Linked DNA regions of Danio rerio. The protein of the gene in region 1 purifies or fractionates together with the protein of each later gene. This does not show direct contact. Links are inferred from orthologs where the notes say so. Each region holds a gene or a part of one and is shown in the gene's direction. Other genes may lie near its edges.

Region 1 (4,623 bases):
GTTGTGTGTGTACAATATATAACATGTAGTACAGAGTATTTACAGAAAGAAAGTCAGTGTGTAAAGTATGTAATACTAAGTGTGTGTGTCTGTACAAAGTGTGTAATATGTACAGTGTGAGTGTGTGAACTAAGTGTGTAGTATGTACTGTGTTTGTGTGCACAGAGTGTGTATGTTGGTGTATAAAGTAGTATGTACAGTGTGTGTATGTGTAGAAAGACTGCAGGTCTGCTGTAGTTTGAGGTGTGTGTGACTCACTCACTCTACACAGGTGTGCAGTAGTGTATGCTCAGGTTAAGTGTGTGTGTGTGTGTGTGTGTGTGTGTGTGTATGTGTATGTGTGTGTTTGACTCACTCTACACAGGTGTGCTGTAGTCATGTATGCTCAGGTTAAGTGTGTGTGTGACTCACTCTACACAGGTGTGCAGTAGTGTATGCTCAGGTTAAGTGTGTGTGTGTGTGTGTGTGTGTGTGTGTGTTTGACTCACTCTACACAGGTGTGCTGTAGTCATGTATGCTCAGGTTAAGTGTGTGTGTGACTCACTCTACACAGGTGTGCTGTAGTGTATGCTCAGCTCCCCTGCTGTCGCTGATGTTCCTCAGACTGGTTTCCCCCTGCGCGTTCACGCAGCACAGCAGTGACGGACCCGCGCTCAGCTTCACCCTCCGCCAGTCTTTCAGCCCCACACAGAGCTCTCCATCCGCCAACAAATCCACCTCCAGCACCGCCTGAGCTCCAGCATCACTCCTGCTCAGAGCCTCCAGCATCCTGAAGATGGACAGCAGACGAGGAGGAAGAAGAAGAGGAAGATCAGCTCAGGAGCTTCCGCCGATGAGCGCGCATTATACAATAACAAACAGCACACTATGGAGATAAATAATAAACAGTCCTCGAAGATTAAACTGCAGGATTTAATCTGAAATACTGATACTGTGAGTTTCCGATCTAAACAAACCACAGCTGATCATCACATGACAACCACATGATCATAGCTACAGCAGGAGGACCAATCAAACCGGAAATAAACACTTCTACTTATGCGCGTTCATGGATAAATGAATGTAAATATCTATGATGCGCGTTCACTATGCTTATGTCAACTAACGTTACCTAAAATTATTTGCCGTGATTAGTAAATAAAAGTTTGGCTTTGTCTCTGTTTGAGTCTTTAATAAGAGCAATGTTTATTTTATGTATAATAATGCAGGTTTATTTAAACTAATCTAAATCTATACAAAACAAAATAAAGGAATTAATAAAAAAAATCAAATATTAACAATATTATCAGCAAAAATAGTGTAATTAAAATAAAAATTAATGTGGTGTTTTATGAATTTATACATTAAAAATGTTGCAAACTATAAATACTATTTTTTAATTAATTTAGCATGTGTAATACAAAACAGTAGAAGTATATTGACTAGTTTCTATGGATAATGTGTTGATATAAACAAAAATCCCCTTAATAAAGTGTATTCTATAGTCTTGGTATAAAATAATTAACGCCAAATTAATTAAAATGGTTTTTTAACATATTTTATAGTTTATTATTATTTCAAAATAACTATATAATATTTTAAAATAAATGGCATATAATCCCAAAAAACAACGCCAAAAAGTTTATATTTCCATCGACATTTCTTTGTTGATCACTCTGGTCTGCGTGAAAGAGGAAGAGCGGACGCGCATGCGCATGTCAGTGTCCGTGATGGAAATGATGGACCGGACCGGATCATGGAGCTTGTGTCCGGACTTTTGAGCAAAGCATTGTTTTTAACGGGACTTTCTAACGAGACGAATGACAAGAGACGAAAGAAGATGGAGGAGAAAGCGCTGGAGGTGTACGGTGAGCCCTGATGACCTCAATCAAGAGAAAAGTCTGTGGTGTTTTCATGGCACGATGACATTGTCAGGCGGAAATACTATAGTATTTTTATATATTACTATAGTACTGAATAATCATCTTCATGGTACTTTAAGTAGTGCCATATTACTACTTTGTTAAGTCAATAAGAAATGTGATACTGGATGTATTTTATCTGATACGTCAAAGATCATATTAACATACTGATAAACAGAAAACGGGGTATAACCATGGTACATAAATGGTGTCCGGTGTTAATGCCATGGTATTTTTGTGGTTGAGTCATTACCGTAATTATGTACTCTATTTTTCTGTCACCATGGTACATAGTTACAATTAAAAACTTGGTTTACTATGCTAAATTGATTGTGGTTGTTGTGATTGTGGTATTAAATCATTACCGTAATAACATACCATAATACTGAATCATTACCATAATCATTTACCACAGTATTTCCCACAAACTTTAAAAAATGGTCTCAAATTATCATTTAACATGGTAAAAACTGAAAAGTATGTAACTGAAAGGTATTAGCATAACCAGCAGTGATGATGCTACTTTGTAATACCATGCTATTTTCATATATACCATAATAATGAATCATTACCATAATCATTTACCAAAATATTTCCCTTAAACTTGAAGGAATGAAGTTCAACTGTTTATATTTTATTAATGTATCATAGTATTAGTATTGAATCATTACTGTAATAACATACCGTATTACAGAATCATTACCGTAATCATTTACCAAAATATTTCTCTTAAACTTTAAGAAATAAAGTTCAACTGTTTTTATATTATTAATATACCATAGTATTAGTATTGAATCATTACCGTAATAACATACCGTAATGCTGAATCATTACCATAATCATTTACCACAGTATTCCCTTAAAATTAAAGAAATAGTCCCAAATAATGATATAACATGGTAAAAACTGAAAAGTATGTAACTGAAAGGTATTAGCATAACCAGCAGTGATGATGCTACTTTGTAATATCATGCTATTATCATATATACCATAATAATGAATCATTACCATAATCATTTACCAAAATATTTCCCTTAAACTTGAAGGAATGAAGTTCAACTGTTTATATTTTATTAATGTATTAGTGTTGAAACATTACCGTAATAACATGCCATATTCCGAATCATTACTGTAATAACATACCGTAATACAGAATCATTACCGTAATCATTTACCAAAATATTTCTCTCAAACTTTAAGAAATAAAGTTCAACTGTTTATATATTATTAATATACCATAGTATTAGTATTGAATCATTACCGTAATAACATACCGTAATGCTGAATCATTAACAACAGTATTCCCTTAAAATTAAAGAAATAGTCCCAAATAATGATGGAACATGGTAAAAAACTGAAAAGGAAGGTAACTTAAAGATGCTAGCATAACTAGCAGTGATGATGCTACTTTGTAATACCATGCTATTATCATATATATATATATACCATAATAATGAATCATTACCATAATCATTTACCACAGTATTCCCTTAAACTTGAAGGAAAAGTCAAACTGTTTATATTTTATTAATTTTTCATAGTATTAGTGTTGAATCATTACCGTAATAACATACCGTAATACTGAATCATTACCATAATTATTAACCACAGTGGCGATCCAATGGCGCAGTAGGTAGTGCTGTCACCTCACAGCAAGAAGGTCGCTGGGTTGTTGGTTCGAGCCTCGACTCAGTCGGTGTTTCTGTGTAGAGTTTGCATATTCTGCCTGCATTCCGGTTTCCCCCACAGTCCAAAGACTGTGTGTGTGTGTGGATGTTTCCCAGAGATGGGTTGTGGATAAGTTGGCGGTTCATTCCACTGTGGGGACCCCGGATTAATAAAGCCGACAAGAAAATGATTGAACTAAACACAGTATTCCCTTAAAGTTTACGAAATAATCTCAAACTATGATGTAACATGGTAAAAACTGAAAAGCAACATAACTGAAAGATATTAGCATACCTAGCAGTAAATAATGTTAATTATTATAATACTGAGTCATTACCGTAATCAAATCAGTATCAAACGGTAATGACCAGTGTATTATTAAATAGAATATACAGTGTGTTTTGATAGCAAAACTCTGTTATTTGTCATTTTCTCTCAGATATTTTTCTGTTTAAGGTGAAACTCTTAATATGCTGATGTTGTTGTTTACACAGATGTGATTCGGACGATTCGTGACCCGGAGAAACCCAACACTCTGGAGGAGCTGGACGTGGTGACGGAGAAATGTGTGGAAGTTCAGGAGCTCGGAGACGATGAATATTTGATCGTCATTAAGTTCTCTCCAACTGTACCACACTGCTCTCTGGCCACGCTGATAGGTGAGTATGTGACGAGATAACACACACACACACTCAAACGGACATCACTGCACCACACAGATAGCAGGAGACACAATAAAGGAAACACTTCTTGTTAGGGCTGGGCGATATTGCAAAAAAAATACATTTAGGAAAATTATGATTTTTTTAACCTTTTTTTTAATTTTACAACATTACTAAGGCAAATAGTTTAAATAGTCAAAAATAAAAATATTTTAACTAAATATCTCTTTATAATAAAATAAACAGAAGTGTTAAAGAGACTCTCAAACTTAATAAATAAAATGTTACAAAGTGTGTGCAATGGTAAAGCGTAAATACTGACAAAAAACAGAAATGTGCGCACATCTAGAAAAATCTTGAAGGCAGGTGCACGATCAAAAAACAAACATAAG
Region 2 (4,308 bases), on another chromosome or scaffold:
CCTCAACATTGCATATTCTGCTATGTGACTTTTGTGGACACAAACATTGCAATATTGATGCTGAAACAATATGTTGTGCAGCCCAAATTGACTTGCATAGTATAAACAGCAAATATGGACATCAATGGTTATAGATTTAACGTTTTTTTTTTCAAAATATCTTCGTTTGTATAGAAAAAAATTAAAATAAACTCATAAAGGTTTTTGACAAGTAAAGCGAGAGTAATGATTATGTAATTATCAGTTTTGGATGAACTGTCAGGTTAGCAAAAAAACATAAACGATGAAAAATATCACCCTTGTAGATCATAAATGTGCATAAAGATCAAGTTATGTACTTATAATACATTTAAAAATAATGCAACACTTCGCAAATTCAAATGAGTGTCTAAAATGCATCAATAATAAAAGTAGATCAACAATATTTAGTGCATAAAATGTTTGCGTACAATTTTAACTTTTCAGCATCAAAGCTAAATTGTTTGTTGCAAAAATAAAACATATGACGCTATATTAATGCCTCACTGTTGTTACTATTATAGAAAATATCGAACAAGTGTACTTACTCTGTTAAAAAAAATTCTCGGTCCCTTTACTAGACGAGTTTAAAAGGCATATAGTCATACAGACATACATTTACTTCCGTACGGTGTTGATGGACCATCAAGCGAACGTGTTTTTGAGTTACCGCGACAAGCTTAACCAGTTTAACGTGTCGATTTTACAACTGCTCTTTTGCACAATTAATACATGGTGGTAAACATGTTTCTGTACTTGTCTACAAGAAACACGTTAACCCGCAAACGATGACAGTAAAAGTGTGCGCGTCACATCGACGCTTTACGGCAGGTAAGCAAACACTCCGCGGCTGTAACATGTGTAATATATGGGCATATAAACAATGCAATTCAGCGTGTCATGACAAATGTGACCCTGAACGACAAAAGCAGTCAATATATGTGTCTAAATATATTAGCCAAAAATACGCTGTCTAGGTCAAAATGATATTATTATTTATATAATATTGAAATGTTCCGTAATCTATCTATCTTGTAAAGAAAAATTGTCGACACTGAATGACTTCCCTCGACGTAACCTGACAGTTGACCTTTATAAAACTTTTTTCTTTAAGTCCCACCCTTTACCTCTCACTCTTTGTTTTGATTGGGCAGAGTCACTTAAGCGCTGTCTATGATTGGAGGATTCAGACGTCGTGCACTCAGCCCTACCAACCACCTCTGAGAAAAACGTCTAGCATTAAAAACAATGGCGTCGCATTTCAGCGGAGTGCTTCAGCTCACGGATCTGGATGATTTTATCACTCCTTCTCAGGTTGATTTGTTGTTTTTTCAGACTATAATAACATTATAAACGGATAAATTTATATAAATTCAGACCATTTACTGGTTCTCCGCTGAATGTATTTGTTGGTTTAAAAAAGCACCGGTCAGATGATCATGATATAAACTGATGTAACGTTAACTGTGGATATGGGTAACGTTAATTTGTATATAAGCGTTCTTGTCAAGTCTTGCAATGTCAGATACAGAAAATGACAGTAAAAACCTAACTTAGTGAGCTTAAATGTAACCAATGACTGTAAGAATGTATGTATTGAGGAGCCGAATACGCGAACATAAAGCCAACTTTACCCCTATTTATCCCTCTGTAGCCCTAATAAGTGCACTCAAACACACTAAAATAATTAAATGACATCGCAGTAGGTATCAGTATATAAAACTAAGTGTTTTATTTCTGAAAAAGACAGTGAAAACAGCTTTAAAGCAAATAAGTTAACGAATAAGCCATTATTGATTTTTAAAATGTCATAAAATGTCATACATTTTAACTATCACTGAAGTGTGAAGTTATTTTTGGCCACTGTAAGTACAGTACTTTAATAGTTTAAGTTACTTAAATGATATGATTTCACAGTTTTCGTGGGGTCTTTAAATGTTTTACATTTCAAAAACAAAATTGTAGGCCTTTAAGAAATTTTGTTTTGTAGGTCTTAAATAATTTTAAACAAGTCTTAATTTTCCTGTGTCTATCGGGCCGACCAATCAATAGTGATACTCAATAAAAACTGTAACTGTCTTCTGTACAATAACATTTTTTAGTTTTCCATAGACTGTTGCGCTTAAATTTAGTTAATTATCTTTTTTTTTCTTCTATGATTTACTAGATTTAGCTTGTTATGATGCCTTTAAACTATGTGGTTAAGAAATAACTCAATTAAAATTTTTTTCGATAAGGCAAGTTAAGATCTTTTTCATTGGCTTAACCATGCCATTAGGAAAAAACATTAGCGTTCAGCCCTGTTTAAGTCTGAAATTTGCTTTATAATGGTCTTCAAAAGGTCCTAAATATGACTCCTGAAACCTGCAGAAACCCTGTGTTTTGTGCAAATTAAAGCCATATTTAGTTGATCATAAATACTGTATTTAAATGAATTTTTTGAATATAATTTTGAGAAGAAAATTCTGAAAAAAAGTCTAATTTAGCCTTCAGTGTCACTTCTATTTATTCTTCGACAAATGAAAAAGACAGCAAAATAAAAACATGTATTTGAAATATCAATAATTTGTACAATTATTAATACCCTTTCTTACTCCTATAATCAATTTAATGCCCTTATGCTGAATAAAAGTAACTTAATTTCCCTGAATCACAGGAATGTGTGAAACCTGTGAAAGTGGAAAAGAAACAGGGTCGATCTGTGGCGAAAATCCAGATAGAAGATGATGGCAGTTATTTTCAGGTCCATCAGGTGAGTTTTGATTAATGTGACTTTTGTTTTGAGCCAGCATTTGACAAGAGATGATGGGCATATTAAATAAATGCTTGGTTCCCAGGATGGCCAAAGACAAAAGTTGGAGAAAGCAAAAATTACTCTGAATGACTGTCTGGCTTGCAGTGGCTGCATCACATCTGCTGAAAGTGTCCTTATCACACAACAGAGTCACGAGGAACTGTACCGCGTGCTACGTCATAATAAGGTGCTCGTTTCAGGTATTTAGCTACAGTTTTTGTCCCAGTAGAATAATTCATCTAAAACATGCTCGTGTCTGTCAGCAGCAGGTTAGCAGTACTGAGCAGAAGGTGGTGGTGGTGTCTGTATCGCCTCAGTCCAGAGCTTCTCTTGCTGCACACTATGGTATTGGCAGCAGTGAAGTGGCTCGTAAGCTCACCAGCTTCCTGAAACATTTGGGTGAGTTTGAGTCTGTAGTTTATATGAACAGCCATCATCCTATGGGAGACTTTATTTCTGGCCACAGAATTAAAAATATAATTTTACAATAGGGATGGTCCGATCGATTGGCTGATTGGCCGATATTCACATTTCACAACTTGATCGTTACTTGCTGATCTGGCCGATCTCATGAACTGCTCGCAAGTGGTTGTTTACAAGTTTACAAGCAGAGGAAGATGCACGTGCATGCCCGGGTTCTGCATCAGCACTAGGGATGGGTATCATTAAGGTTTTAATGGTATTACTACTTTTATCGATACCACTTACCGGTTTGGTACTTTAACAGTTCTCTTATTGGTATTTTTTGCAATGTTTTTTTTTTTTTTTTTTTTTTATGAAAAAAACAAAAGGAACAGAATTAACAACACTTTATTTTATTATTACGTTTTTAATGTAAAGTAAAATGAAACCAATAATTGTAAAAACAAATGAATAAATATTTTCCTGTAAAAGAATGTAGAATGATTGGAAAATGAAGGAAAATGACTCAGTTTTCATTGTAACTGACTGAAACTGTGTGTTTATTTAACTATTAAAATGATAATAATTTAGGTGATTGACTGCTGGCATAACAATGTGAATAATGCAATGTTACCGTTAGTAGCTAGGCAGTCCAAACTTTTCATTGATTTTCATTGCAGTTAATGCACTTTTGAAGGATACTTTCACTTAGCCAGATTGTTTGCGTTTCGGCGTATACAAGAAAACAACTTGTTGCGTTTGTTGCAGTGGGCATTGTCACTGTCCACTCAGAAAATACAGCCCATTTGGTTCACTCCGCAAGCTTACGAACTGTGTGTGTGTGTGCGCGAGTCTGTCGCGAGCTCTGTGTGTGCTCAACACGAGCCTCCGCTGAGTGTGTGAGCACAGCAGAGAACTGTGAAAGCTTTTAAACTTGACGAACTGGAAACACGAGCATTTCTCATGTGAGACTGCCAACTGTGCAGACGAAAATCAAATACCGCAAATTAGAAAAGGTTGGTCAGTTAAATTATGCTTCTGTAAGTAACGTTTATTTAGCAAAAATTCTCCAATACCGATAGCAGAATCGTTAC

What was found.
Region 2: the proteins of ciao2a (region 1) and narfl purify together in Homo sapiens (affinity purification with mass spectrometry; 4 studies listed by BioGRID and IntAct, with this or other methods). This does not show direct contact. The link is inferred for Danio rerio from reciprocal best matches to the Homo sapiens genes CIAO2A and CIAO3.

What each region holds. Positions count from the first base shown.
Region 1 is NC_133200.1:1,559,637-1,564,259, forward strand, and holds the start of ciao2a (cytosolic iron-sulfur assembly component 2A), read left to right. Parts: upstream 1-1,711; 5' UTR 1,712-1,735; coding exon 1,736-1,847; intron 1,848-4,063; coding exon 4,064-4,228; intron 4,229-4,623. UniProt on the Homo sapiens protein: Component of the cytosolic iron-sulfur protein assembly (CIA) complex, a multiprotein complex that mediates the incorporation of iron-sulfur cluster into extramitochondrial Fe/S proteins.
Region 2 is NC_133178.1:17,536,854-17,541,161, forward strand, and holds the start of narfl (cytosolic Fe-S cluster assembly factor narfl), read left to right. Parts: upstream 1-1,240; 5' UTR 1,241-1,266; coding exon 1,267-1,332; intron 1,333-2,674; coding exon 2,675-2,770; intron 2,771-2,855; coding exon 2,856-2,999; intron 3,000-3,078; coding exon 3,079-3,211; intron 3,212-4,308.